4 linked regions of the Caenorhabditis elegans genome follow. The protein of the gene in region 3 interacts with the protein of the main gene of each other region in a pairwise test. Each region holds a gene or a part of one and is shown on either strand. Other genes may lie near its edges.

Region 1 (5,748 bases), 1.4 Mb from region 3:
ATAGGTGGGCACGGGGGAAAGTGGGAGGAAAGGCTAATTAAACGGAAAAGGGGCAAGCAAAAGTCGAAATATGGTTACGGTTGATGGAAAGAAGGATTCAATTACTACGTACAATTGACCAAATTGATAATTGACGAACTTTTAAAAATTTTGTTTACTTTTTGTTTATGTTGTATTGTGTTGAAAACTAAATTGTGCCGAATTATACGCATCATTTTGAAAAAGGTAACTCTCTGCCAATTTTAAGTTCTTGAAAGTCATCTATCATCTAATTTGAACGGTTTTATTTATGTAAGCCAAGTCAGTAAGAAAGTGAGTTTAAAAAATAGATAATACAAAAAATAAATATGAAAAATAAATACAAAACCAAGATTTTGGCGAGTTTGTGGTTTCTTACAATAAATTCTTGATAGATTAACAGATACCTTCAAAAACAAATCAATGGTTGAAATACTAATTTTTAACGAAACCAGGAATTCCTACAACTGTCAAAATTAAACTGGCACATGGGAAATTGAGTATCAAACAAGCAAATTAATGTTTTCTAGTCAAATCAGGGATCAAACACAAAGAATAAAAAATCTAAGGTTGTGTAACCAATGAAAAACCGAACACTGACCAAGTTTAGTCAAATTGAAAGTGGGTGAAAAATGACTGTCGACCGAAAACCAGTCAGTATGAAAAGTCTGTTGAAATTGTCGCCGACAACGGGGGTAACCACGACGATTTCGGGTTTCACACACCATCAAATATATCCTTTTGTGCGTCTCTCTTATGGAACAATATACAAGTTACGATATATTTTTTTTTGATTTTCTGTCTCTCTACTATCCAAATTTTATATTTATTGGGGAAAAATGTACAGTATAGATTGAAGCCTGGTGAGCAATCGGAAGCAAAATCATTTTCTTTGTTTTTTGTTTTTTTTTATTCGTCGTATCTATTGAAAAGAGGCAACATTGCGTCGGAAGCCCCAAAAAGGGACGGGAATGACAGTACAATTGAATTCTTCTCTTCAGAAATCTGAAATTCTTCAGAGAATTAGAAATACAATTAAAAGTTGTGTTCGAGGGGACAAGAACATAACCACACCCATCCGTTTTATTGAGGATCTGAATGTTCACGTCATAAAATGAAAAAAAAGGGGTTTGTTTATAGGTGTTCTCTATATCGGATTGACCCAAATCGGCCTACAAAAAGAGGAAATGAGATATGAAGTGGCAATAGATACAGTGATATGATAACAAGCATTACGATAAGCAACTCGTTTTTTTCATTGCAATGAAGCAACGAAAATTAGTGAACGCCTGTTCCGAAATCAGATGTACTTCTGGTGATAAAAAGAAATAAACAATCGATGTACTTTTGGTAACGTGTATTCTGTAATTCAGTTCACAAATGTTTGAAAAATTAATATTGTTGCCAGCGGTTCCGAGAGATGTATATCCTATAGTTAGTGTATACTATAGTTCCATTGAAGCTCGTAGTTCTGAAAAATTCGAAATAATTGGTTTCATAGGCACACAAGTAGGCACATTTTGCTTGAAAACCTTATTCTAACTTTTCCACGTATAACCGTTTCAAAACATGAGCTATTGAATCACATAGGTCTCAAATGCCAATCCGTTTGGCTCTCTTGGCTCTTTAGTAAGCAAAGCCGAGAAAAGGGACACCTGCAGTTTCCCAATTCGGAGAAAATGTTCAAAACGTGAACTCAAATCTGTTTGCCAGCGGTTCACAAATTTTCAAAACGTATCATGGTGAAAATATTTATTTCACCTTTTTAAAATCTAACTGAATTGTATCAACTATGGGCTTAATTGGATTATGGAATGTAAAACGTCGAGCCAATCGAGCTGTGAGAAAGTTTCAATTTGTGGTTAATAATATCAGACGGTTGGTTAGAGTGTGGATTTTGTTCAAACACATGAAAAATTTCAGAGAAAAATCAGGTCAAAACCGAGTTTTAAGATATTCTGAACGTTTGAAAAAATGGTTGTCCGTTTTATATCCTCCATGGAAAAAGGAAAAAGATGATGGGATTTATGACAATTTATTCGAAGATGGAACAAGGTTTTTGGAATTATTTTGAGAAAAAAGAAAATCTTAAAATTATTTTTCCAGAGCTAATTCTATTGTACTTCTATTCCGAAACATCCTAATGATTGAATTATTTGGAATAGTTATGTATTTTCTGTTGTCGTTCAAATATTCACAATACCCGGAGTTGTAAGTAGATCATATCCTAAATCTAAAGTTAAATATTTTCAATATAGTATTGGAACTTCCATATCCACAATTATCCACGTTTTTCTGATTTTCACTTTGATATTTCCAAAAGTAAGTACTTCAGGATTTTTATGTGGAATTAATAAAATATTTCGTTTCAGATGATGACGTACTTTATGATTTCTATCCACGTCATGTTGACTACAAAAATCAAAAACATAATTTTAATTCTTCTTGTCACAATGGCTTTTGAAGTTTTATCAATTCATCTATTCACGGGAACATCTCAAACTAATTTCAGGGTCCTGCAATGAATGTTATTGGAAATATTCATCAAGTAGCTTCTGGTGTTGCCTGCGTTCAAATTGATGTTATGAGTTCAAGAAATGATGTGGAAGGGAATGTAATGGATAAAGGAGCTATGCTTGTTTCTCGGTTTCGTGCACTTCTTCAAAATGTATCTGGTCCAATGAATAAGGTCAAGAAAATGCTATTGGTTCTAGATGAAAAGATGACAAAGTAAGTTGCAATTGGGATACCCAAAATGTCAAATTCTTGTAATTTGATTAAATTGATATTGTTTCAATTAAGATTTGTGGACATCATGAGGCGACATTATCGAGTTATAGCCAACTTGTCAAATCAATGTCGAAATATGCTCAAAACTCCCTATACAAAATGTCTTGATATTTTCGACGACGCATATTTTTATTGTAAGGGGAAAGCTCGATTTTTTGGAAGCCACGGCGATGCTTGTGAAATGATTCAGAAAACTGCAAAGGTATTCAATCAGTCAACATATCAATCCTATTATAAAACATTAAGATTTGCCATCAAGCAAAGGGTTTCTCAACGGAAGTATGTTCTTTACCTTCTATCATTGGAAAAGGAGTTAAAGGAGCAGCTGTACCATTTTATGCAGCTTACTTTCAAGCAATTGAATTCGCGGTGAAAAAGATTTTCTACGTACACATTGAAGCAGCAAAATGGGCACTGAAGAAAGTGAATCCAGTGATAGAAGAGATAAAAAAGGCGAAAAACATTCGAGCTGAATACCAGTCATCTGATGATGGTAAACCAAATGCTGCAGATGATACAACTGCAAACTTGAGAGCAAGTATAAAGAAAAGTTTGATGGGAATTGTGAATGTATACATACGGATTATCAATATAATTTCATTTATTCTTCGATATTGTATCATGCCAGGATTGCTCATATGGCCGTTCATCTATGTGAGTTTAAATAAGTAATATGTTAACATACAAAATTTTGAACTGATATTTTTCAGACACTTCGGTTCATGTATAACTACAACTATAATGACGACTTTAAAAACCGTTTTCTCACAAAAGAATTTACAAAAATTGATCAAGATTGTGCATTTCGCGGAGCTCGTAAAGTCATGCCATTAATGGCAAATGAATCAAAGCAGGTAGGTTTCTCTGGTTCATTATCATTCTAAAAATCTTAGACACCGTTTAGTATGTCAGTCGAGGTCAGTGGAAAATGACAGAACAAGAGCGACCTAAATTTCGATTAGATATTTTCATCACAATTGTCAGTTGTGTCACTCCTTTCTTTATGTGTATGCTTGATTATGGTATATTTACGGTAATTAAATGAATAAAATTATATTGACTTCAAATCTATAGATTCAAAGTTTCAGACTCTATCAACTGTTCATACTTTAATGAACCGAACAAATATCGATACTCCTGCTCATTATGAATTGAAAGTTGCTGGAAATAGTTCAATGTCAGATGTGATGAATGAATTTCTCGATGTTTTCAGTCCATTTACTAAAAGTATTCGAGACCGTGAAAATCGTTGGAGACGATGTTTCAACGAACCAAATCCTCCAAACTATACAGAAAATATGGTGATGTTTCTCATGTTTATCGCTGCACTTTTTCTTTGTCGATTGAAGGTTTGAAGAGTTGAGGAGTACTGTTAAGATATATTTAATTTTTGAAGGCATATTTTGGAAGGCAAACACTTGTATTGGCAGATTACTTCTTTCCGAATCGAGTAAGAATTCGTGCATTGAGCCTTTATAACAAAATTTTACAAAGTCGACGAAATTTGCTGACAGAAATGTTAGGAAATAATAAGGTAAATGGGAATTTCCGGTCTCGAGTTGACTGAAATATTTTCAATTCCTCGATATTCACAACTTAAACATTGAAAAAAAGTTAGCCACTACAGTACTACTTACTACATCACTACGTCACCGGTACCGTATTTTTTGAGTGATAAATCCCGATTTTGCGAATTGATAGTATTCAAAAACAGATATATTTTTTCCTGAATTTGACATTCCGATTTGATTTAAAAGTAATTTTTGCACTCGTAACATTGATAATTGACAGAAAGATGTAGTGGGTGGTGAAGATGTCATAATTCGGAGAACAATGCAAAGTCGTGGATTCGTGTGCTCCGATTGTGTAAAATGTGAAAAGTACGATATGAAAGTGTCTGATCAAGAGTTAGTTTTGTTTATTGATGATCAAGAAAACAAAGCTATTAATTCAGAAATGTGCGAGTGTGTGTTCATTGTAGTGCTTTTTACTGTATCAACTGTTTCTCAGTGACTCTTTTCTGTGTGAAATGCGAGGAGGAAATGCAATGTATTAACGGGATTGAGCTATACTATGAGGAGAGTAACGCAATTATTGATGACTCAGGTAAAATTAACTTTATTTAAACATTAATAATCATCTATTCCAGATATTTCATTGAGTGAACGCGAAGACGACGAACCTGACAAAGAACCAACAGAAGGAACAACCACCACCGCAGTAACCACTGTCGTCTGAATGATGTTTGAAAAATTAACTTTCCCGCCGTTGGGGAAAGCGCGCTCCAATGACAATGTACTTTTCGAGTTCAAATTTATTTGCCTTTTGGCGCAGTTTTCGAAATGATTTCGTTCATTTATTAGTTTTCTTATTATTTCCTCGAACTTCAATGATTATTTTCCAATTGAATTCAAATAAATTATCATTTAAACTTCATTTTATTTGTTATTTATGGGTTTTCCCGTTTGGAACTCTAATTCACTGATTTATTGTTTCAGAAATGATGGGTGATAGTCATTCTTCATTCACAACAACGACAGATGAACATCTATATAATCAATTTTCTCCGGGAAGAAGGTATCAATTAAGTAAAGATTCATACAATGAGAATAATTATAGAAAGAACGATTTTCCCGCTGCAAGCAGTTCATCATCTTCACCAAACTTGCGAAGGTCCCCAAACCGCACAGTCAGTTCACCGCGTGTTCAACAGAAGCCAATCACAATTTTCGATCAAATCGTGGATTGGTTTCAAGCGGAAATCAGTGTTAGAAAGAGATTAGCTGGTGCTGCATGCGGATATCTGTCCACCATTTTCTTCATTGTCACAGTATCCATTTTGAAACTCACGATTTGGGCCCCTTTCAGCTCAGTTCAAGGTTGACGTTTATTTATTTTTCTATGATTGGACATTTCTCTTTTTCAGACTCCCTGGCGTGG
Region 2 (7,636 bases), on a different chromosome or scaffold from region 3:
TGTTCTTCCCCTTTCTATCTCTCTTTCAAATCCATTTCCAATCGTTTACGATCATAATTATTGACTTGCGAAGCCAAGAGGAGGCTGTAACAAAAGTTGGAAGGGCGGATTCATCGATGATCGACGACAGCAATTTGGAACTGGAATGGGAACTATTTGAATCGGGTGATGATGATATGATGGGGAATACGTATAGTTAGAGGAACATGTATGGGTATTGTTGCGTACATGCATACCTTATGATTGCCTACATGCCTACATGAAGGGCCTATCTCAAGTCTGCCGACATCCCTAACATCAACTGGCTGCATATATGCTTATCTGAAGCCGGCCTGCCTACCTGTTCGCCTGCCTATCTTGAGCCTGTTTGTCTATTTCTTACTGATCTTAAACCTACCTACCTCCCAGCTTGCCGATCCATCACATCGAAGCTGCTTGTTAGCTCGCCTGCCTGCCCACCTGCCTGCCTACCTCCTGCTCGTGCTTTGCTGTATTTTATCTATCAGAATTGAATAGCAAATAAATCACAAAAGTTCCAATTTCTCGATTTATTTCAGTTCGAAGTCATAATAAACACAATGGATACATAATTAATATTTTCCGCTTAAAACAAAAACTCCGATTGCTTCAGACACCGAGGAATGTGACGTCGCGAGCTCTCGGAATGCTAGCAGATAATTCCGAAGACATAACCTGTTTAGAAGATGGAACTGGAGAATCGATTCCAGTTCTAGCTAGAACCGGGTTGTTTTGAGGTTTGTCATCCTTCGGAGCCACTTTAGTTCCTGCATCAGCTGCAGCAGCTGGACCCGGTGTCTTACTCTTAGGCACATAATACTGGACAGTGGTGTATTCCTTGTATCCTTCAGCTTCCATGGTTCGAGATGACCTCATTTTGAATCCTTCGAAAGTGTTGTCCATAAGGAAGGAATGGGCTCCGGTTGTGAGGAATGTCACTCGAGGCGGTTGTTTTTCCTCTCTCTGAAAATTCCATAAATTATATGGAAATGCATGCCTGCCTGCCTACGCCTGCCTTATGTCTACACAAGTACCAACTGAGTTAGATACGGTCGTCGGTAGACGTTTTCAGACTACAATCGGAAATAGGCGGTAGGCAGGCACGTAGGCAGGTACGCAGAGTTGAGGGGGGCACGTAGACTTTGAGGCATACTTGTATAAGTCACGTAAATAGGCAGCCAAACTTAAGGTAGGCACAGGCAGGCATGTTTGAGGTGCCTGCCTGACTTTAAGGCCCACCCCTCTAGTACCCAGGCCTGCATGAAAAGCTCAACAAACCCAAAAATGTTATTCCTAAACCAGCCGTGGACCGCACCTCCGGCGCGGCCCCCGACTTCTGGGGCTGAAAACTAACTTTTCTGAAACTACCGTAACCCTACAGTATTCCTACCGTACCACTATTGTACCACTACAGTACCCCGACTATATCCCTACACTAACCCCAACTCACTATCCCCACAGAAGCCAAAACTTCACAGACTACAAAGACTACATAGACTACAAACTATGGACACACAGAATAAGCGCTTTATATATAGTAAATGAAATGGTTTCGAAATTTTCAAAGGCTGGTGCAAATGCGCGTAAACTTCTTTCCAGACCTACAGTATACCGCATGCCTGCCTACGCCTAGCCAAGCTTACATGAAATTCGGATCTCCAAATCGACTTGTACTTGCACTCCTTGGAAGCAACGAATCGAGCGAAAACCACCATCAGAAGTTGCTGAAAATACACAAAATTTTATGTGTCAGCTCATTGTACAAATAGGCAGCAGGCAGGTTCGTAGGTAGGCGTGCCTGCCTACAACTCAAGCTTCAGACTCACCATGTACTGCTCATCTGCTGCCTGATCCTCAACATCATCATTTGCCGGCTTCTCGCCCCACGCCGGTGAAGCATAGTATCTCTTGAGCTGAAAGCAGAGGTTTTTGAAAAATTCCAATTCGAATTCAACGTACCAAATTCCGATGCACAAAATGAGCAACTACAAGAATCAAATTAAGCGGTGGCGGAGCCGCCATTTCCCACGAGAGAAACTCGGAATAAATAGCTGCTCGTGTGAATTTGAACTCCATTTCCTCATTATCCAACACCTCATCAGCTCCTTTCACAAGTATCGATGTCATCAAATTGAGTACTGTAATTATCAGAATTCCGTGATAAACAGCAGCGAGAATTTCGAAAGTTGACGAGTTCAAAGTATGTTTCACAGGATCCATGTTTGGACCAGTGTTTCCAACAACTGTAGTGAATGTTGAGGGTCCCAAGTAACCGAAAATTGACCAGAACAGGTTTTTAGAGGATGTTCCAATTCTGAAAATATATATGTTGTCTCAGATAAAATATAGAAAAAAAGAACTGACGTTTCATAAGAATCCGTGGTCTTTGTATAATCCTGATCTCCTATTTTCATGGTACTTCGATTCAAGTATGGGTCGACGATAATATTCAATCCAACAGAAAACGAAACGATGATTGCGACCATGATGAGTATGTATGTGTACGTCTTCCCAACACATTTTCCGACAGATATCTGGAAAAATTAAGTTTACTGTAGGACTACTGTAGTGGTACTGTAGGATTACTGTGATATTACTGTGGAACGAGTGTAGGATTACTTTAGGATTACTGTAGGACTATTGTAAGATTATTGTAGTAGCACTGTAGGATTATTTTAATTTGGGAACAACTTAGTATTAGACATATGAATGAGTAGTGTAGGAGGACTGTAGGACTACTGTATAACCACTGTATACTTGCTGTAATGGCACTGTAGGACTACTAGGATTACTGTGTTGGGCACTGTAGTAGTATTGTAGGGATACTGTAGCGGTACGATGACTTGAAAATATTCAGTTTCCCGCTGCCAAAGCACACACAATAGACAGTAGGTAAGTATCTGGGCAGGCTGTCTGCCTATGTAGCTCAAGAGACTTTTTTTGTTTTTGCGGTCAAAACATCGAATTCTACGCGCAAACTCCACTTACAACAGATCCACCGATTGATTTCATCATCTGAGCATAGTAAAAACATTTTAAAATACTCAGCACACAGGCGATCGCAAGACATATCTCATGGAGAAGTGAGAATTCGAAAGATGGCTGAAAATTTCAACTAATTAATTATTCAAAAGATTTCAGCCGAACCCAGTGCATTCTGTCAACGGAACTCGGATCGAAAGCTTCTCGTTTTCCCCATTTTCCAGTAAAAAATATCAGTGAAAACAAGAAAATAAAGATCAAAGCCGCATCGAACCATCTCCACCAGAAGGCAAAAAATCCATCTCGTCCGACTCTATAGAATAGAATTCCCTTCTCCAGAGCTAATCCCATCACATAGGCGTACATGAAGATTTCGAGTGCTTGTACAGTTACTTCAACTGAAAAAATTTCAATTTCACAAAAAATGTTGTAAGCTTAAGCCCGATCTTAAGCCGAAGCCTAAGGTGAAACCTTAAGCCTAAGCCTACGCCTAACCCTAAGCCTAAGCTTAAACCTAAACCTAAACCTAAGCTTTTAACTATGAAAATTCAAAATCCACTTACTACTATCAGTCCATGCAAAGTAGAAACCGATTGTTGGACGGAGAATTGCGGCGATGAGGAAGACCAAGTACATTGTGATGTGAGCAATGAATCGAGCAAGTGGAACGCACATTGTTGTACCCTTTGTTGGCATAAATGCATGAAGCATCACAAGGAATGGCATCAGGATACAGGCTCGCAGAAAACGCCAAGCATCTCGTTTTGGCTTGATTCCATAGTTGTACCAGTCTGAAAAGTGTATGAGGTCAGCTATAAGGCCATTAGAAAGTCTATGGTAGGTAGGCACGATTACGCCTCATCATCGCCTACGGCTCGCCTCAGGACTTCACCCTCAAAAACAGTTACCTGATCTGAAGACAGACTTAATAGTTGTCTGTGAATTGGTGGAGCACGTGAATTGTCTCATTTGAGAATCCATAGCCATTTGAAGACGCGGTGATGAGATTTCAGTCATTCTTTCCGGGCAGTAGTTTCTCTGAAATTCAATTTAAATTCTCCCAATATCTAAAATTTAACACAAATTCTTACATTAGCAACCATCATATTGAACTCGTCGACTCTCCATGCTTGATCTGAAATTCTGCACAAAAACCGTTGCACATTCATCTCGAGGTCTCGATAGGTTTCCACGTATTCCAGCTGATCATCGCTCGCCAATTGTTGAAGGTCTCGGGCGACAGCACACGTGGCAGCGAACACGTCATCAGTTGCCAGCCACAGGTAGGCTTCAGAGGACAGTGCACGCATGACGTCGACGAGGCGAGTTGATGAGTGGGTTGTTACGGTTTCCCGTTTGCAGGTTTTGCATTCACCTGCAACACTTTACCATTTTTGCGCGTAGAATATGGTGCATTCGGTCCTACCGACGCATGTTCGCTCTTTTGCAATGTTTGCGCGTCAAATATGATGTTTGAACTCACAAGTAATGAAATGTGGTATCTGAATACAATGTCCTCTAGTTATAAGACACTGAACAATCGAAAAATTATTCAAAATGCATGCCAGCATCAGTGGAGTCATATGTGGTGGAAAATGTGGAGAATTAGCAGATCCTGAAATTAGTGTGATGCAAATGCGCTTTAATACAAACTTCCTCACACTTACCACTTCTTTCAAGGTATGGTGCATCGACGAAAAGTACGAGAACAAACTCGACTAGTGGACGACTTCCGACGGCAATCGATAATAGAAGAGCTTCCTGTAATTCAAAAGGGCGTTACAGGACGTAGGCAAGCGTATGTGTTGTAGGCGGGTGCAGGCTATCATAGGTGGATGTAGGCAAAGTAGGCGGTCGTAGGCGGTCATAAGCGAGTGTAGGCGGGCGTTAGCAAACCTTACCTGGTCTTGAGAGGTCTTTCAGGGGTGTAGGCCGGCGTACGCGGACGTAGGCGGATGTAGGCGAGTGTATGCGTTGTAGGCGGGTGCAGGCGTTCGTAGGTGGATATAGGCAAAGTAGGCGGGCGTAGGTATGCGTAGGCGGACGTACGCTTTCGTCGGTGGATAGCCAGCCTTACCGGGCCTTTAGGCCTTTAGGCGTTGGCTGCCGTATGCGGGCCGTTATCGGGCCATTAGAGGGTCTTTAGGGTGTAGGCGGTAGGTGGGCCGGCTTAGGCCGGCCTTTAGCGGTCTTTCAGGCGTTGACGAACTTTAAGAGATTCTTCAGAAGATGTATCCATTAGAAGACTTTGAAGAGAAGAAAGGCGACCATCGTCCGGGCCATGTGGAAGCAAAATGCCCAAAAAAGATCGTACTTCAGAGTATAATTTGCTTTTCACAGCCTTATAGAAGTAGGCCATGGCTTGCAGAACCTGAAATTTATCTATTTGTCCTGTAAAATCTGATAAAGTCCTGCGTACAACTTGATCATTTTCATGCCATTTCTGATGACCATCGTATCCTTCATTATTGTCTGCGTCTACACCTCTATATTTTCCAAGATACTCTTTTATTGCGCTGAAAAAATGTAAATTTGTTGATGAAAACTTGGGTCCTGACACGAGCGAAACATCTCGTCTACAGTACCCGATGGTTGGCGCCGTGGAAGAGGTTTCGCACGGCCATTCTCCCATTTCCAAGGATCCTTGCAAGGCGATTGAAAGCACTCACCTTAATTTTAGCCTCGTAGATTCCTTCTTTTCCTTTCCCACCATTTTTGGAAAACGAAAACCTTGAAATAAATATATTGATTTTTTTTCACTCCGACATTTTTTTCCACGTATCCCTCCCCCCTCAATCCAGAATATAGCGGCGGTAGAAAAAAGTTCACGCCAATTCAAAAATTAAAATGTTTCGTTTTTTATTGGAACACGGGAAACTTTTTTTTTAGTTTATCTTTTATATTTTTCAAAATCTAGATGAACGCAAACGCGCTCCACCGTACAAACCGAAAATTGCCCAGTCAGGAGATTTTCAATCAAACTACTATTCAGTACTAGAAAAAAGAGAGCATTTTCTTGGGCTCTATAGCAGTGACGCGCACAGTAACATGATCAAATTCTCCAGTCTCTTCAGTCTCAGTCATCTTCTGCGTCTCGATGGCCACATATGGTGCAGGTGTACGAAATCGCTGAATAAAATAAGATACTTAGAATGAACCGTTCAAGCCAAGAAGAATGCCGCCCCAAAGATCGCTCAATACCAGCAGATCATCGAGACCCTTGGATCCAGTTAAATCCATGAAAAATCTGGTTTGTTTGAGATAATAAAATTGTTTACAATCCAATCCAAAAAATTATTAAGAAACTTTATTTTATTGCCATAATCAATTTACTATATATAAAGCGCGTGTCGTTCTGTCCCTATGTAGTTTGATCTTTGATCTTTGGTCTTTGAACTCTGTAGTTTGTAGTCTCAATCACACAAGAGGGGTCACATAGGCCCCGCCCCTTTTGTGACGTCATCACAAATTGGCGGGAATTCAAATTTTCTGAGAAAATATTTTGGCGGGAATTCAAAATTTTAAATTTTGAAAACATTTTGGCGGGAATTCAAAATTTAATTTTTTGAAACCATTTTGGCGGGAATTCAAAATTTAATTTAAATGTGTCATATCAATTTAAAATGTCAAGGTACTGTAGTGTTTTAGGGGTACTGTAGGATTACTGTAGGGTTACTGTAGTTTAGGAAAAATTGATTTTTAAACATTTTAAGAGGTATTGGCTTGGAAGTTGGTAGATGGTAATGTCAAGGTACTGTAGTGGTACTGTAGGGGTACTGTAGGGGTACTGTAGGATTACTGTAGGGTTACTGTAGTTTAAGGAAAATTGAATTTTAAACTTTTGAAGAGGTGTTGGCTTGAAAGTTGGTGGATGATAATGTCAAAGTACTGTAGTGGTACTGTAGGGGTACTGTAGGGGTACTGTAGGATTACTGTAGGGTTACTGTAGTTTAAGGAAAATTGAATTTTAAACTTTTGAAGAGGTGTTGGCTTGAAAGTTGGTGGATGATAATGTCAAAGTACTGTAGTGGTACTGTAGGGGTACTGTAGGATTACTGTAGGGTTCCTGTAGTTTCAGGAAAATTGAATTTTAAACTTTTGAAGAGGTGTTGGCTTGAAAGTTGGTGGATGATAATGCTAAGGTACTGTAGTGGTACTGTAGGGGTACTGTAGGATTACTGTAGGGTTACTGTAGTTTAAGAAAAATTGAATTTTAAACTTTTGAAGAGGTGTTGGCTTGAAAGTTGGTGGATGATAATGTCAAGGTACTGTAATGGTACTGTAGTAGTACTGTAGGATTACGGTAGGGTTACTGTAGTTAGGAAAAATTTGAGTTTTAAGCATTTGAAGAGATATTGGGTTGGGAGTTGGTAGATGATAATGTCAAGGTACTGTAGTAGTACTGTAGGATTACGGCAGTTAGGAAAAATTTGAAAATAAAAATTAAAAAAAGATAAAATTTTGGCGGGAATTCAAATTCTAATTTTTTGAAAATAATTTGGCGGTTATTGAATTCCCGTGGAATTCACCTTTCGTGGTGAGACCCATCGTGGTGAGACCCGTCGTGGTGAGACCTTTCGTGGTGAGACCCTTCGTGGCGAGACCCATCGTGGTGAGACCCATAGTGGTGAGGCCT
Region 3 (3,573 bases):
GTCGTACAATCAAGTGGATAAGTGACAGAGGGCTCCCTGTTCCCGACTCGCCTGCCTGCTCCCCGGACATAAACATAATTTAAAACGTTTGGGGATTCATGATGAGAAAGATTTACGATGGAAACAATAGCAATGTTAACGACCTCAAAAGAGCAATTCTTGACGCATGGCATAAAGTTGACCAAACTCTCCTGGACAATCTTTAACTTTTCATGGATTCACGCGTTTTTGATGTGATTAGTACAAGAGCTCATCCCGTGGATTATTAATCATCTCTTGTTCCTTATTTTTCTAAGTTTTCCTACTTTTCTACCACCTGGCCGTATCATTTTGTGGAGTTTTTTAAATAGTTTTTCATGAAAAAATGTTTTTTTTTCTTTTTTACGAACGCTTCGGGTATATTTCCATCACTTATCTCAAAGCTAGCCAGTACAACGAACATTTTCACATGAAACTATGTTTTGCTATCTTAACCCAGTTTTGAGTTATACCAAAATTTAGGGGTGGCCGTATCATTTTGTGGAGCACTGTATATAGATACGAACAAAAATTAATTTAAAAAAAAACATCAAGGAAAGTTTCATTAAACCGAATCATTGAATCGATGACTGCGAACTTTGAGTACTTGATGGTTCCTCCTCAATTCTAACAAATCGATTCCGTTGCTGGGTGTTGACGTATCTGGAAAAATATCTGATTAGCTTATATACAAGAAAAATTTTCAGAAAGAAATACTTTATTGCGCACGTTTTGTAGTGCTAAACTGATTTTTAAACGAAATTCTAAAATACCTTATGTCGAAATGCAGACCATCCTGGGTGCTGGAATCAATTGGACACAGCCATAATCCCCATCCAAACACTGATTGAAAATTATTATATTTCCCCATATTGTAGTCAGCTGCATTATCAAATCTTAGAAGAGCTGGTTTTGTTTGTTCGACAGTTGTCTCGTTCAATGAGATCAATTGATAATGGAATATGATAAGTTCACCGAGTGGATAGTAACCAAACACTCCGCCGACAATAAAACTGAACAAGTAGAACAAAAACTTTCCCAATTCATCGGTCCATTGTTGATTGATAAAATATCGAACAGCACCTTCTAGTGAAGTGAGCAAATACCAATAAACAAGAAAACTGGTGTAGATAATGTAGAGTAGAAAGTACTTGTAATTGACGTGTGTAACACACATGTTTATCCATGGACAGTGATGATCATACTTAATGCAACACTTCCCACATGAGCTACAATGTCGGGCACGATCCGGTTTGATATGTCCGCACTCGTAACAATACTTGAGCCTTCCCACTTGATCACATTCAGCGACGACTACTTTACAGTAAGTACACATCTCCTCCAAAATAGTATTTTGTTGTGCAAGCTGAAAACTTTGTTGGTGTATTATATAAAGTGTATTTAGCATCCATAAAATAAACAAATAATAATAAAAAACAAAACAATCAAGACAAGATTAAACCACTTATTTTGATTTTTTCACTTTACCTGTTCAGGTGTCGATTTCTCTACCACGTATCGATTTTTCTCCATCGGTGTGACTGCTTTCAATCTATCTTCAAGTTCTTTACTAGGTCGATATCTTTCTGGAACTCTGCCAACTCTCGTGAACAACGTTTTTGCAAGACTCCACATTGACATAACAAACAGAAATGATCCAACAATCAAATAAATGGTTGCTTGAATTGTTGACTGAACGTAATAACCAATTGTCACTGTCACGTACATATAAAGTCTGCAAAAGACCCAGTTAAATGATTCGCAAACAATCAAGAATGACTCACGACCACCAGAGCAAAATAAGTTGAATGAAAAGAAGTACATTGAGACATCTCGTCAAAATCCATCCAGTGATTTTATGTTTAGCGCGGTATTCTCGCACTGCTACGTAAATCTTTGAATACCATGACATTGGTTTTCACTTTTAAATTTCTTGTCTAAATCATATAAACTTTATTTGGTTCAAATCATGTTCAAAAGAACTTACCAAACGACTTCCAAATGCAGAAATGATTGAGAAATATTCAAAAATTGTAAAAAATGTACTGCTGGATTGCGTGAAGTTTTATTTCATTTACCGCAGGAGTAAAAAAATACCGTGGCATTTAGAAATAATGTTTTGTGAAAAAAATTTATGGGACTTTATTTGTTGCTGATTATCGAAGAAATTATTTGGAAGTTAGAAGTAAATTATTTCAAGCATTATTATTATTTATTGTGAAAAAAATGAGAAAATTGTGTCATATATACAGAGAACTGATGTCAAAGTTACGCATTCGATGTCTACTTTCTCTTGCAACACTGTCCATTTCCACATGGAGAATAGTTTTGCTGGCACGAGCAGGAGTTGACTGATTGTGTCTGGCATGGCATCTGGGCTGGTTGAGCAGCAGAACAGGATTGAGAGCATGATTGGGTGCAAGCTGGAGCACATTGTTGCATTGGTTGTTGCTGCTGAACGCATTGCTGTTGGCATGATTGCTGGCATTGTGGTTCACATTGTGCAGATTGGGAGACTGAAGCTTCCAGAATGATTGTGACAGCTTGTGGAGCAGCAGTAGTGGCAACTGGAGCTTGGCATGCAGATTGGCATTGCTGGCATTGTGGAGCAGATGGTTGCTGGCACTGTGGAGTACATTGTTGTTGGCACTGTTGAGTTTGTTGGCACGAAGTCTGACATTGTTGGCAAGCTGGTGCAGATTGCTGTTGACATTGTGGAGCACACTGTTGCTGACAAACTGGAGCAGCTTGTTGGCAGGTATTCTGGCACTGCTGGCACTGTGGAGCTGATGGTTGTTGGCATTGTGGAGCACACTGTTGTTGGCATTGTGGAACTGCTTGCTGGCAGGTGGTCTGGCATTGCTGGGTGCATTGCTGATTGCACTGTTGGGCTGGAACTTGTTGTTGAACACATTGTTGTTGGCATGATTGCTGGCATTGAGGAACACACTGAGCAGAGATTTCCATGTTAATCTTGATTATTTGTGGAGCGGCAGTAGTGGTTGGAGCACATTGTTGAACACATTGTTGCTGACATTGTGGCTGACATTGTTGAATTGGTTGAGTTTGAACACATTGCTGTTGGCACTGTTGTTGGCATTGTGGCACGCATTGAACTGCAGCTGGAGTCTGGACAACACAGGATTGTTCACAGGCTGGCATGCAGGATGGTTGACATTGAACTGGAGCTGGAGTAGTTGGAGTATAACAGGAAGAAGTCTGACAGCTTTGTTGGCATGTAGATTGACATTGACTAACAGATGGAGCAGATTGACATTGGTTCTGGCAAGACTGCTGACAAGCTGGGGCACATTGAGAAGCTTGAATTTGGTAGGTTTGTTGCTGAACTGGTTGGGCACATGAACAGGATTTCTGGACTGGAGCAGTGTTCTGACAGGAACAACTGTACTGTTGTGGTTGAGTATAGGTGGTTCGTTGGCAAGAGCAACTTGGTTGAACTCTTGGAGCACAGCCACAGGATTGGCGTTTATCGCGAATTGTTGTTGCCTGGAAATGATTTTTGTGAAATTTGACTGAAATCGTGGTCAATCGTGG
Region 4 (4,131 bases), on a different chromosome or scaffold from region 3:
ACATTGACAGTTGACGGGGCCTAAGTAGCATAACAATTGTCTTAAAAACGAATAACTCAAATTCCACGTTTTTAAAATTTTAAATATCACCATATTCTACTTCATCATAATGATAACCAAAATCGTACTATTCCTGCTGTTGTGCCTCTCGGCCTGTAATGCCTATACCTATCGGTACGATTATTGCCGTATTGCGTGTTCTGAACTACGTCCAAAAGCTGAAAGACCAAAATGTGCGGAAACTTGTGATAAAGATGTGAGAAGTGATGGTTGGATTGCAAACTGCGCTGGAGCAAGAAGTCCGGAATCGTGTTGGGTAAAAAAAAGTTGTACCGACTGCTTGGTGAATGGCAGAAACGTTTATAATACATGATTGTAATTGTTTCTGAGAATAAATTTTCATAATTTGCATTAATATTGACACTTTTTCGACAGAGTCAAAAAATTATCCATTCCAGAAGTTTCTCGAGCTTATGAGACCTGTTCAATGAGCAGAAAGAAAAAAATTGAAGGAAAATTTGAATTCCGGTTGAAAACCCAAACTACTCAGCCATTTTATTAAAAATCATTCAAAAGTTTAAAAAAATTAATCCTTCTTCTCTGATTTCTCATCCAAATCCGCCTCATACTCCAGGAATTTTCTGAAAAAAACGTATTTTTTTCAATTTTTCAAAATCCCTAAAAACATACTTTCGAATTTCGTCTTTCAAATCATCATCCACGTCATAATATCCACGATATCTTCCAGCTGAATAGGTAAATAGACGAATCACTAGGAAAATGCCAATTGTGTACATTATCACAATCACGATTTGGAATAAATTCAACAATTCACTCAGAGTTGGCTCTTCTTTTGATGTGAAATCACGCATTGAGATTCTGAAGTTTGGAAATGGGTTGGAAGGGCTACAAACTACAAACTACACACTAGAAACTACAAACTACAATTTCCTTAACACGTATTTCACTGATATCGGTATTGTGAAATTAGGTGAGAAATTTGAAATTTTGGAAAAGCCTCAATATGTCTCGAATATGACTTTCAAGCTACAAAATTCAAACTACAAACTACATACTACAGACTACAAACTACAAACTACTATTTCCCTAACACGTATTGCACTAGTATTGGTTTAGAGAAATTAGGTAAGAAATTTGAAATTTTGGAAAATTGCCAATACGTCTCGAACATCACTTGCAGGCTACAAACTACAAACTACAAACTACAAACTATAAACTACAAACTACAACTTCCATAAGACTTATTGTACTGATATCGGTATTGCGAAATTAGGTGAGAATTTTGAAACTTTGGAAAATTGCTAATATGTTTCTAATATGACTTGCAAGTTACAAACTACAAAAAACAGAGTGCACACTACAAACTACAAGCTACAAACTACAAACTACAAACTACAAACTAACTACAGACTACAACTTTTTGAGTTGCAACCCCAAATTGTGGTTTGTAGTCTCAGCAAGCTTGTTCCTCCCAGTTGTAGTTTGTAGTTTGTACTTTGTAGTTTGCATTTTGTAGTTTGCATTTTGTAGTTTGTAGTTTGTAGTTTGTAGTTTGTAGTTTGTAGTTTGTAGTCAAACTCACATGAACCGAGTTGTAACGAATCCCAAAATCAACATAACACGACACCCATAAACAATAATTGCCACTGGATTATCCTGAAATATAATTATGTTGGGTGAGGCTCAGACTACAAACTACAATTCTGCGCTCAGCCTCAACCAACATTGTAGTTTGTAGTCTGAGCTTCAATCTCGGGGTTTTACGGTTTTTTTGAGTGTAAATGAGGAAATTTTGGATTTTTTTTTTGGTAATTATGGAAATCGTAGGCTTTTTTATTGATTTTTTTGGGAAAACAGCTTCAAAATTTCAGATTAAGAAAAAAAATTTCCTAAAATTTAAGTCAAAAATTTCAGATTTTCTCAAATTTTCCGCCAAATATACTCACACAAATCGCCAAAACTGCGGAAATTGAAGTAACCAGTGAAATTCCGTGAAAAATCGCCCAAAATTGGTCAAAAGTGTCGTGGAACTGCAGGAAAATTGGGGATTTTGAGGGGAACTTTCAGGAGAAAAACTTACGAAAATGAGGAAAAGCTCTAAGCCAAATGAGAATAGAGTTAGGGTAAAGTCAAGGATCTGGAAAATATTTGAAATTCAAAAAAAAAAGTGAAAAAAACGTTTTGAAATTTTTGAAAAAAAAAAAAATTTTCCCAAAATTTTCAAAAAATTTTTTAATTCCAAAATTCCAAAAATTATCCCAGAACACTTCCAAAAATTACCATAAAAATGGCAAAAGCCAAAACGACATGAGAACAGCAGAATACAGTGTAGTTTGCATCGTTCGGTGAGCCCAACTCCATCAGAAAACGCATATTTGATTGAAAAACTATTTATTAGTATAAAGTGACCAATGTTTTGAAAAATAAATGAAAATGATTACAATTTGAAAGAGTTGTTGGATTAATAATATTAAAAGCACACGTAGGGAGTTTAAAATTGAAGAAAAAAAAATTATCACGTTAAAAAATATAGAATTTTAAGACTTCTTCGGTCCATAATTATTATCACTTAAAATTTGCCGAGTTAAATTATTAATATGTCGAAAACGATCGGGTCCAAGATGAATTCCACCGTACCAACGTGAAACGACGACCTGAAAGAAGAAATTGGTTGAGGCTCAGAGACTACAAACTACAAAATTGGAAAATTTTCAGTTTTTTAAGCATTAAGATTTTTAATATGCAAAAATCAATCTTTTTTCTTACAAAAACATTTTTTCTAATGAATTTGAACAATCTTGCTATTTTCGACTACAAGTGGTGTCAGGCTGTCTCATTGCGGTTTGATCTACGAAAAATGCGGGGATATTTTTCCAGAAAAATTGTGACGTCAGCACGCTCTTAACCATACGAAATGAGATGAGATGTCTGCGTCTCTTCTCCCGCATTTTTCGAAGATCAAAACGAAATGGGACTTTCTGACTCCACGTGCGACTACAAACTACAAAAATATATTCTGGAAAAAGGCTCAGGACCACTACAAACTATAGTTTCTTGACTACAAACTACAAACCAAAAAAAAACAAATTTTTTTTGAGAAATTTTGGAATTTCGGTGAGGTTCAGATACTACAAACTACAAAAAGCTGAATTTTATCGGTTTTTGAGTATTTTTTGAACTAGAATTTGAATTTTTTTAAAAACCCATAAAAAAATTCGGATTTCACAATTTTTGATTTAAAAAATTTGTAGAAAATTCTATTTTTACAGGAAAAAACCGTTAAAATAACTATGGAAATTTGGGTGAGGCTCAGAGACTACAAACTACAAACCCCGGCTCAGCCTCACCAAAAATGGAATTTCAGGGTGTGTTTGAAACTAAAATTCGAATTTTTTCGAGTTTCAAATTGAAAATAATTACGAAACTCAGAAAAATTAATAAATTTTACTTTTTTGCGAAAAAAAAACTAGTAGAAAATCCTATTTTACCGCTAAAATCCGTTGAAAAGCTACGAAAAATGGGTGAGGCTGAGAGACTACAAACTACAAAATGCTCCGAGCCTCACTCAAAACTTGATTTTAGGGTGTTTTTCAAAATAAAATTCGAATTTTTTGAGTTACACATTGAAAATGTTCACGAAACGCAAAAAATAACGAATTTCACTATATTTTTACAGAAAAAATCTGTTAAAAAACTAAAAAAAAATGGTGAGGCTAAGAGACTACAAACTACAAAAAGCTGAATTTTATCGGTTTTTGAGTGTTTTTTGAACTAAAATTCGAATTTTTTTAAAAAGAAACCCAAAAAAATAACAAGATTTCTCAATATTTTTGGAAAAACCAGTGGAAAAGTTTATTTTTACAGGAAAAAACCGTTAAAATAACTATGGAAATTTGGGTGAGGCTCAGAGACTACAAACTACAAACCCCGGCTCAGCCTCACCAAAAACGGAATTTCAGGGTGTGTTTGAAACTAAAATTCGAATTTTTTCGAGTTTCAAATTGAAAATGTTCAAGAAACGCAAAAAAATTAACGAATTTCACTTTTTTACAAAAAAACTAATAGAAAATTCAAAAATTGGGTGAGACTCAGAGACTACAAACTACAAAA

What was found.
Region 1: the proteins of spe-10 (region 3) and spe-42 interact in a two-hybrid assay, tested with the Caenorhabditis elegans proteins (one study listed by BioGRID).
Region 2: the proteins of spe-10 (region 3) and spe-41 interact in a two-hybrid assay, tested with the Caenorhabditis elegans proteins (one study listed by BioGRID).
Region 4: the proteins of spe-10 (region 3) and spe-38 interact in a two-hybrid assay, tested with the Caenorhabditis elegans proteins (one study listed by BioGRID).

The regions. Positions count from the first base shown.
Region 1 is NC_003283.11:11,733,031-11,738,778, reverse strand, and holds spe-42 (Dendritic cell-specific transmembrane protein-like domain-containing protein), read left to right. Parts: upstream 1-1,782; 5' UTR 1,783-1,810; coding exon 1,811-1,896; intron 1,897-1,941; coding exon 1,942-2,073; intron 2,074-2,124; coding exon 2,125-2,229; intron 2,230-2,276; coding exon 2,277-2,340; intron 2,341-2,390; coding exon 2,391-2,483; intron 2,484-2,530; coding exon 2,531-2,748; intron 2,749-2,820; coding exon 2,821-3,010; intron 3,011-3,054; coding exon 3,055-3,462; intron 3,463-3,518; coding exon 3,519-3,662; intron 3,663-3,712; coding exon 3,713-3,841; intron 3,842-3,896; coding exon 3,897-4,157; intron 4,158-4,204; coding exon 4,205-4,342; intron 4,343-4,599; coding exon 4,600-4,715; intron 4,716-4,762; coding exon 4,763-4,914; intron 4,915-4,957; coding exon 4,958-5,046; 3' UTR 5,047-5,239; downstream 5,240-5,748. Other genes in the region: npp-22 (Nucleoporin ndc-1), read left to right, coding at 5,309-5,385, 5,428-5,687, 5,735-5,748.
Region 2 is NC_003281.10:3,438,478-3,446,113, forward strand, and holds spe-41 (Transient receptor ion channel domain-containing protein), read right to left. Parts: upstream 5,731-7,636; 5' UTR 5,714-5,730; coding exon 5,670-5,713; intron 5,517-5,669; coding exon 5,420-5,516; exon of another isoform or gene 5,372-5,419; coding exon 5,210-5,371; intron 4,762-5,209; coding exon 4,668-4,761; intron 4,616-4,667; coding exon 4,484-4,615; intron 4,376-4,483; coding exon 4,092-4,375; intron 4,039-4,091; coding exon 3,909-4,038; intron 3,792-3,908; coding exon 3,564-3,791; intron 3,399-3,563; coding exon 3,166-3,398; intron 3,121-3,165; coding exon 3,007-3,120; intron 2,553-3,006; coding exon 2,383-2,552; intron 2,333-2,382; coding exon 1,978-2,332; intron 1,932-1,977; coding exon 1,845-1,931; intron 1,743-1,844; coding exon 1,662-1,742; intron 982-1,661; coding exon 628-981; 3' UTR 534-627; downstream 1-533.
Region 3 is NC_003283.11:10,382,705-10,386,277, reverse strand, and holds spe-10 (Palmitoyltransferase spe-10), read right to left. Parts: upstream 2,029-3,573; 5' UTR 2,006-2,028; intron 1,956-2,005; 5' UTR 1,931-1,955; coding exon 1,803-1,930; intron 1,754-1,802; coding exon 1,507-1,753; intron 1,385-1,506; coding exon 792-1,384; intron 682-791; coding exon 594-681; 3' UTR 538-593; downstream 1-537. Other genes in the region: pqn-2 (Prion-like-(Q/N-rich)-domain-bearing protein), read right to left, coding at 2,302-3,525. UniProt on the Caenorhabditis elegans protein: Involved in spermatogenesis, specifically in the morphogenesis of fibrous body-membranous organelles (FB-MO), which are Golgi-derived organelles used for transporting sperm-specific components, in spermatocytes and in their localization into budding spermatids.
Region 4 is NC_003279.8:10,963,932-10,968,062, forward strand, and holds spe-38 (uncharacterized protein), read right to left. Parts: upstream 2,452-4,131; 5' UTR 2,383-2,451; coding exon 2,302-2,382; intron 2,159-2,301; coding exon 2,102-2,158; intron 2,052-2,101; coding exon 1,968-2,051; intron 1,678-1,967; coding exon 1,604-1,677; intron 880-1,603; coding exon 691-879; intron 642-690; coding exon 587-641; 3' UTR 541-586; downstream 1-540. Other genes in the region: impt-1 (Protein IMPACT homolog), read right to left, coding at 2,559-2,675.